Oryctolagus cuniculus: one gene and its partner. The protein of the gene in region 1 purifies or fractionates together with the protein of each later gene. This does not show direct contact. Links are inferred from orthologs where the notes say so. Each region holds a gene or a part of one and is shown on either strand. Other genes may lie near its edges.

The links. Proteins that work in one complex are often made in the same cells at the same time.
Region 2: the proteins of FGF11 (region 1) and AHCYL1 purify together in Homo sapiens (affinity purification with mass spectrometry; 3 studies listed by BioGRID and IntAct, with this or other methods). This does not show direct contact. The link is inferred for Oryctolagus cuniculus from reciprocal best matches to the Homo sapiens genes FGF11 and AHCYL1.

Annotation. Positions count from the first base shown.
Region 1 is NC_091448.1:52,014,881-52,019,344, reverse strand, and holds the start of FGF11 (fibroblast growth factor 11), read right to left. Parts: upstream 2,876-4,464; 5' UTR 2,726-2,875; coding exon 2,533-2,725; intron 887-2,532; coding exon 776-886; intron 591-775; coding exon 487-590; intron 1-486.
Region 2 is NC_091438.1:60,303,842-60,307,603, reverse strand, and holds part of AHCYL1 (S-adenosylhomocysteine hydrolase-like protein 1), read left to right. Parts: intron 1-248; coding exon 249-337; intron 338-677; coding exon 678-748; intron 749-1,467; coding exon 1,468-1,562; intron 1,563-1,642; coding exon 1,643-1,741; intron 1,742-2,494; coding exon 2,495-2,563; intron 2,564-3,001; coding exon 3,002-3,080; intron 3,081-3,762. UniProt on the Homo sapiens protein: Multifaceted cellular regulator which coordinates several essential cellular functions including regulation of epithelial HCO3(-) and fluid secretion, mRNA processing and DNA replication.

The sequences.
Region 1 (4,464 bases):
CACATAGGTAGCAGGGGCCCAAGTACCTGGGTCATTCTCTGCTGTCTTCCCAGGTACACCAGCGAGGAGCTGAATTGGAGGTAGAGCTGTCGGGACTCAAAGTGGCACCTGCTGGGGATGCGGGTGTCCTAACCTGCTGTACCACAATGCCATCCCCAATCTCCTCCCCATCCCCGGTCCTGAAAGCCTCTGGGGAAGTGAGTAATAACAAAGTCTGGAGGAGGAATGATGAGAAGTGGGGGCCCTAAAGGACGGAACACATGAGACACTCACGAGCCGGGGAGTATTTGGGGGGGCTGTGTGAACAGCAGGGGTTCGGACAGCCCCTACAGGAGGTGCTCTGGGATGGACAGTGGTGACAGCAGCCAAAGTTGGAGGGCGAGGGACTTGCGCTGCAAAAACCCCACCAGACCATGTCTGTAGTGGAGTACGATGGCAGGTGGGGGAGTGCCTGGTACCCCAGGCCCCTCAGCCTCAGTGTCTCACCGAGCTGTAGAGCAGCCCCTCGGCGTTCATGGCCATGTAGTGACCCAGCTTGGCACTCTGGATGGTGACCACGCGGAGCCCCACGGGGATCAGGTTGAAGTGGGCTGGGAGTGGAGAGAGGAGACATGAATACCCAGGCCTCTCACTGCACCTGAGCTGCCCCAGCACACACCCCCTCCCCCCATCCATGGCAGAGAGCCTGCAAGCCACAGAAGCTGAAGAGGGGCCACAACTGCCACCTCCTGCCCGCATGCTCCCCCCCCCAGCCCCCAGCTGGCTCCCCCCTTACTGAAGGAGCTGGTGTCCTCTGGGGCACCCTGGATGCTTCCGTCGGGATTCGCCTGGAGGTAGAAACCCTGGCGGCAGAACAGCTTGGTGACGATGCCTTTGAGCTGAGGCTCTGGAGAGAGAGAGAGAGGAGAGAGAGAGAGACATTCATCTTTGGAAACGACATCTCTGTTCCCAGAAACACTGCTACACTTGGCAGGGTCAGGAGAAGGAAACGCAAGGGAGCAGAGGAAGGGGGTCCCGCGGCCCCAGCTTTCTTATCCTGCCAGCCAACTCTAGCCCACCTCTCCTTGACTGCTGGGGAAGCCGGGGTGTGGGCCCCTCTGTTTCCTCTAACCTCGCGCTTTCCGTTTAATTTATTGAAATTTATTTAAATGGCTTAATTCCTACTGTACAGCTCAACCAGAGGGGGAGGGGAGAGGGAGGAGGAGGGGAAGAGAAGCATCCAAAGGCAGGGGACAGAGGGAGGCAGGCAGCTACTGGAGGGGCAGTGTTTGCCAATGTGGGGGGAAGGGGGCCGGTGACCACAGGGTAGGGGCTCCCCCTTAGGGGTGGGGGTGGGGCCAGGCCTGACGCTGACTCAGCACCTGCTGCTGCGGCTGCTGCTGGATTGGCGCGGGCCTCCCCTTGGCCAGGCTCCCGCCTGTCTGACACTGACCAATCTGTCTGTCTGTCAGTCTGTCAATCTGCTGGCACCCACAGGAGCCCAGCTCTCCCTGAGGCTCAGCCTCTCCCCTACATTCAAGTAACCCGCATGGGGTGGGGAACATTCCATGCCATATCAAAGAAATGGGGGAAGGGGGCCGCGGAGATGGAGTGGCAGGATGAGTCACGTGTGGACCGTGTCCCTCTCCCAGGGTGGGCTGCGGACCGTACCACTGTGGACGGCAGGTGGCGGGGTGAGGAGGGAGTGAGGGGGCTACTCCCAGGGGAGCTGGAAGCCGGCTGTAGCGGGACTAGAAGGACTCCCTGGCTGTCACACCCGGACGGGGACCACACACTAACCCTCACAACTCTCCTCCTCCCTTGCTTGCTCTCTGCCGACTTCCCTGTTCCCCTTGTAGGTGGTACGACCCCCCCCACAAAGTCTCCGCGCCAGTCTCCGGTGGAGAACTGTGCCTCAGTTCCTCCTGGCAAGGTCCCCCGAGCCAGTGGGACCCGGTTTTGGAGTCGCGCGGGGGGAATGCGGAGGGATGCCCGGTTCCCCTCCTGAAGCTCAGTTCGCGGGAGGAGGGCCCACAGAGGGGCTTGCTGGCGTGGTGGCCGCAAGGACACCGGGGGAGAGCCGGGGAGATTGGCTTCGAGCCAGGCGAGCTAGACCAGGAGGAACCGAGCCAGGGCGTGCTGAAGCGGGAGAACCGGGGCGGGGGCGGGGCGGCCGGAACCGCAGAAACCCTCGGGGTGACCCAGGCGTCCGGAACCCCCCCCCCCCACCGCGCCCCGGCCCCTCCGCTCTGGACGGAAAGAATCGCGAGAACCGGCACGTAGGCGGAGGACGGTGGGGGTGGGGACTCCGGTGCTGGGGGGTGGGGTGGGCCGGAGCTGCAAGGCATCGGGGCGCCAGACTTAGCCCCTTGCCCTCGAAAGCACAGACTCGGGGTGATGGACAAAAGAGAAGGGAAACTGAGGCACGGTCTAGCAGGGACTCTGTGGTCCTGACCCACTCTGGGACTCCCCGCCCCCTCGCCGGGCCCCATTCTAAGGAGTCCCTGGCCTCAACCTCCCAGGCTCGGAGACCCCCGCCCCAGCCGCACTCACCCGGGCCGCGGTCCGGCCGCGTGGGCCGCCCTCCGCACAGTCGCACCTTGGACAGCAGGATGAGGAGCTGCTTCTGGCAGAGGGACTTGGTGCCGCGGGGACACACACGCCGCTGCGCCGACACCGGCCGGCTGCCCCCGGGCTCACGGACCTCCCGCTTCTGCCTGATCAGGCTACTGGCCAGCGCCGCCATGGCGCCCCAGGAGGAGACACCCCCAAACCAGCGCGCTCACCAGGGCATGCTCTCCACTCCCTGGCCCCAGCTCACCGCCCCACCCACAGGACCTGAGGCAAGCCCCAGTCCTCGCTGTGGCCGCCAGCACCCACCCTTGGGCCCTATCCTGGCTCCACCTGATCCCGCCGCCTATGCACTCCTTGGTTTCCCTCACCTGGAATGTTGCCCCTAACTGAAAATCCTCCTCTTCACTCCTCTCTGGTGTGTGTCTCCACGCCCTGGGTTCCAAAGCCAAGATCTCCCAAGAGGTGGCTCCAGTTTTCCCTCTCCCCCCTGCTTTGGAGCCCACACTCCTGCCAGATCTACTCTGATAATCTGAAAGGTGTGGGTCCCAGCTTCGGGGCCATCAACTCGTCCCAGCCCCACAGGACAACTCTCAATGTCAGAGAGGAACCCAACGCTGGTGCTCCCTCCTTTGCTACCTTCTCAATGGAGATGATTTCCTACTTTTTTTTTCCCACTGAAATCCCCCCCCCCCCAAATATATCTGGGAGAACACAGGCTGTCCGGATTCAGCGAGGAGCAGGTCCCAGATCCCCTGGGTGGACACTGCCTTTCTTCTCCATCACTCCCATTTCTAATAGCACAGGGCTCCAGCTGCCCACAGACCCTCTCCTCACCTTGTCACCCTCCACTCCTCTCCAAGTCACCTCCAAATCCGCCCTTCCTAATGGATACCCCAGGTGTGGTAGTTTGGAGGGCCCCCGTCACCTCCGAATGAGCACTTTCTTTTTTCCTGGACTGCCCCTTATGACAGCTTGCGCTGTCTAGATCCCACGCCCTCCCATCCAGTCAGCCCCCCAGAGAGAAGTGCACCCACGTTGCCACCAGTCCCCAAATGTGAAGAGGCCCCCTACAAGTCAGAGCTCATTAGAGCTTCCTGCGACCGCGCTTGCTCGTCCTCCCAGGGACTGCCTACAGCACCCCCTCTTCCTTTCCCCGACGCCCCTCAACCTGTCCTGTCCCGTTGATCCGGGCGGCGGGCGGTGCGGGCTCCGGCTTCAGGCTCCTCCCTCCCTGTCCCCCGCAAGCAGAGCTTCCCCCCACGCCCGGCTAGGCGTCCGGGACCCCTGGGAAGGAGTGAGGGTGTCTCCTCAAAGCGTCCCGGTCCGGCGAAGTCACAGCGCTGGGCCTGGAGGCTGGACCAGGCGCAGCGGCGGCAGCGGCGGCAGCGGCTGTGGGAAGCTGAGGCGGCGGCGGCGGCGAGAGCAGCTCCCCCTCCTCCGAGAGCCAGCCCGGGGGCGGGGCAGGGGGCGGAGACGCCGGGAAAGAGGGGGGCGAAGCCGGGCGGGAGGAACCCAGGGGTTCCTTGGCGGCAGGGAGTGGGGACTGTCCCGCAGGCAGGCAAGGCGAGGCCAGGCCTCCTGCCTCGGGGTTCAGAGGGAGAGGGACAAGGAGGCCTCATTAGCGGAGCTGTGGATTGGGGGAGAGGCTGGGCTTCGCAGAGATGGAATGGCGGCCACGGGGAGAATGAAGAGAGGGACACTAATGCCCGGTCTGGAAGCGAGGGCAGAACTGGAGACATGGGGGTAGGGATGAGACCCAGCCCGGGGCGAAACCTGGCCTCTTTAATCCAACTGATCAGTCCTTGGTCTCCATACCCCAATGCCTTCCGCATTTTGTCAGCAAATACATTCCTCCCATCTGTACGGGCTCCGAAGATAAAAGACTAAAAGAAGTGGGGAGGGCTGGTTGCG
Region 2 (3,762 bases), on another chromosome or scaffold:
TCACTTTTGCTTGATCTTGTTTCCCTAATGGAAACACTTCTGTCTGAAGCCTTGCAACCACGTGGCTGCTAAATGACCTCCCTCCCTGAGGCTCACAGCATAACGGGGATCTCTTCCTGCTCTGCCCGCGAGTGCCCACCGGATCACTGGTGGTTTCAGGAAGGTTAATTCCTGTCCCCCCGAGAGCTTGTCCTCCCCACGCCCGTGCCTTAATGGACCTGACCTCCTGTCCTTGCTCTGTCCTGCAGGTGGGAAAGGGCTGCTGTGCTGCTCTCAAGGCCCTCGGAGCGATCGTCTACATCACAGAAATCGACCCCATCTGCGCTCTGCAGGCCTGGTAAGAACAGAGTGCTCCTAGGATTAGATTTACTCCAGGTACTTTCTGTTTCTAAGAGTTTGTGATTGAGTGTATGAATCATTTTCTGCAGAGATCTCCCCACAGGAGGAGAAGCCAGGATTGCTCTGTCCCTCTCCCTTAATCCTGGGGCTCTTCTAGAGCCGCTTGGCTTTTTCCCTTCCAGAGGGGGGTGTGTGTAGCTCAGCGCTGCTGACTGCCTGTCCTCCTGGTGAGGCAGCTCTGCATCTGACTTCAGAAGCAGTTTTGTCATCTGTTTTGGGATCAGTGTCTTCCCACTGCCGCCTTGCTTTGCTCATAGTGTTCCTTCCTTTTCTTCCAGCATGGATGGGTTCAGGGTGGTAAAGCTAAATGAAGTCATCCGGCAAGTTGACGTCGTAATAACTTGTACAGGTAGGTTAGCTGGTGTACATGGGAGAGTGTTCGCTCGGGAACTAAGTCTTAGAAGGGGTCTGACTTTCCACTGAGCGTAGTTGAGACCTGTGCTCAGTGTAATGTCTCGCCTGAGTGAGCTCTCAAAACTAATGAGTGACAGAGTAGGGTCTTTTCCCTGTGCTGACTTTTTATACTGACTGATGTTAAAACAGGTAATTGGGATGGGTGTTGGACCCAGCACTTAAGATGCCTGTGCATCCCATTCCAGAGTCCTTGGGTTCCATACCCAGCTTCAGCTCCTTATTCCAGCTTCCTGCTCATTCAGACCCTGCGAGAAGACTGTGGTGCTCAAAGTAATGGACTTCCTGATAGCCACGGGGCAGATCTGGGTTGAATTCCCAGCTCCTGCCTCCTGGCCCCAACCAGCCCTGGCCATTGGAGGCGTTTAGGGAATGAACCAGCACATGGGAAAGCAGTCACTCCCTCTCTGTCTCTCCCCCCTCCCCGACTCCAACATCCTCTTTCCCTCCTTCCCTCCATCCCTCCCAAATAGTTAAAAAAAAAAAAAAAAAAAAAATTGAAACCAGCTCCTTGAGCCTGAGAAGCCTTTAGGCACTTCTCCCGCAGTGTATACGCATTCTTGAATGCCAAGAAACCTTTCTCATGTTCCGGCTGAAGCCAGTCGGGATCTCTGTTGTCCAGCCTCTCTCTGCTCAGCAACCCATCTTTACTCCTAGGAAACAAGAATGTGGTAACGCGGGAGCACTTGGACCGCATGAAAAACAGCTGCATCGTGTGCAATATGGGCCACTCCAACACGGAGATCGACGTGGTGAGGCCTTCGTGCTCGGTGGCGGCCCCTCCCCTCTGCTTCCCTCACAGCCGTGGTCACCTGTGCCTTCTTCCTTGCAGACCAGCCTCCGCACTCCGGAGCTGACGTGGGAGCGAGTGCGATCCCAGGTGGACCATGTCATCTGGCCAGATGGCAAACGTGTCGTCCTCCTGGCAGAGGTACATGCGCAGGCGGGCTCTGCAGAGTAGCACAGTATCGTTGGAGCTGTGGTGGGGAGAGGAGACAGGCAGAAGTACTGGGCCTGCCTTCTCCCTGAAAGTCTGTATTTGGATAGAGGTATATTTGTCAAATGGGCTGCTCCCCAAAATAGAGTCACTGAAAAGAAATTCACTTTTGGGCCAGAACTTTGGCCCTGGCAGTTGAGATGTTAAGATGCCTTCATCCCTTATCAGAGGCCTGGCTCTGGTTCCTGACTCCCAACTCCCTGCTAATGTGGACCCTAGGATGCAGCAAGTGGTGGCTCAAGTAATTGTGTCCCTGCCGTCCACATGGATAACTCGGATTGAATTCCTGGCTCTGAGCTTTGTTCTGGCCCAGCCCTGGCCATTGCAGGCATTTGGAGAGTAAACAAGCAGGTGGGGCCATGTGCTCGCTTGCTCTCTAGATATCTCAGCCTCTTAAATAAGTAAATGAAAAATCTTGAAATACACACATACACATGGGTGTACCCACACACAGTGTTTAGAAATGCATGCTTTTTCCTGTCCACATCTGGCTGAGCTTTCAGGCTCTGATGGATGGTTGGAACTAGTCTGAAGCCTAGAGTCCTGATGTGGAACTGTAATTCTTCTTCCAGTTGAGTCTAGAAGACTCTAAAGTCCTTTCTTTAACTTGCTTGACTCGCATGCTGTTGGAATCTGAGACTGAGAGATAACGGCTCATCCTGGCTCATCCTGCTCTTGCTCTTCCAGGGTCGTCTGCTCAATTTGAGCTGCTCCACAGTTCCCACCTTTGTTCTGTCCATCACAGCTACAACACAGGTATGTGGTAAGACACCTGCTACCCTGCACTGGGATTTGTGGGGCTGGACAGAGGGCAGAGCTGGGAGGCGAGTGTGCCAGGCTACATTCTGCCAGACTGTTCCTTTTTCATATTACTCTTTGTTGAGACTGAGACTTCCCAAATGTAGGACAGTCACTAGTCAGTGTTTGTGTCTGCTTGAGTTGGGTGTTTTAGTTGAGAATATAGTGTTCCAGCTTAGTTGTGTTTATTTTGTTCTTTTGTCAAGAATTAAACAAAACACCAGCAAATCCTCTTGTGATATGTGCCGACTGGCCTTTATTAGTAGGAGTTGTAGGTGCAGTTCACTATGTAGATCACCGGAGCACTTACCCTAAGGCCCTAGTAAGCCTGATTTTATTTATTCACGTCCCTGTCTAAGAAGCATGTCTGTGTTTTCTGGCACTTTCCCACCATAGGCTCTGGCACTGATAGAACTCTATAATGCACCTGAGGGCCGGTACAAGCAGGACGTGTACTTGCTTCCCAAGAAAATGGGTGAGTGCAAACCAGGGCAAACCTGCACTGCTCTCCAGACAACTCTGTGATTTGGGGGCGTGAGCATGACAAAAAGCCCTGGATTCAGAGTCAGAATTCTAATTCCTGTTGTGGTGTTTAATGATTGTTTGACCTCAGCACAAGGCCTAATCTCCACGTGCCTCAGTTTCTTGATCAGAGAGTAATCCGTTCATCCGTGTAGGAGGACTAGCACAGTGGTTCAGAGAGGATGTTCTTACCCTGAGTTGCCTCATGAAGTTCAGTGAACTTCCCATTGCAACCGAGTGCAGCCTGGGGCCAAAATGAAAGATAAAAGTTTCACATGTAAGTTTCATTGTCCATCCTCTGTTAGTTGGGCACACTGTCTCCTACCCCACTGTCTGCCCTTCCAGGGGACAGCTCAGGCTGTGTGTGTATGATACATCGTCTCCTGTCCTTTACCTTTAAATTAAAAAAAAAAAAAAATTGCTCCCTCTTTTCCTCCAACGGCTTACCTCAGAATGGTTTTTAAAATTCACATTCCTAAAAGCCAAGGGAGCCCATCTTCTGAAAAGTCACAGGTGTGCGCCAGTTGCCGTAGAGATCCCTGACCCTGAGATCCTGTCAGTGAATCTCACCCTAAATAGTGACGCAAGGCTCCTCTGAGCTCCCCGGGGTTCACGTTGGTTCATCATTTGACTAT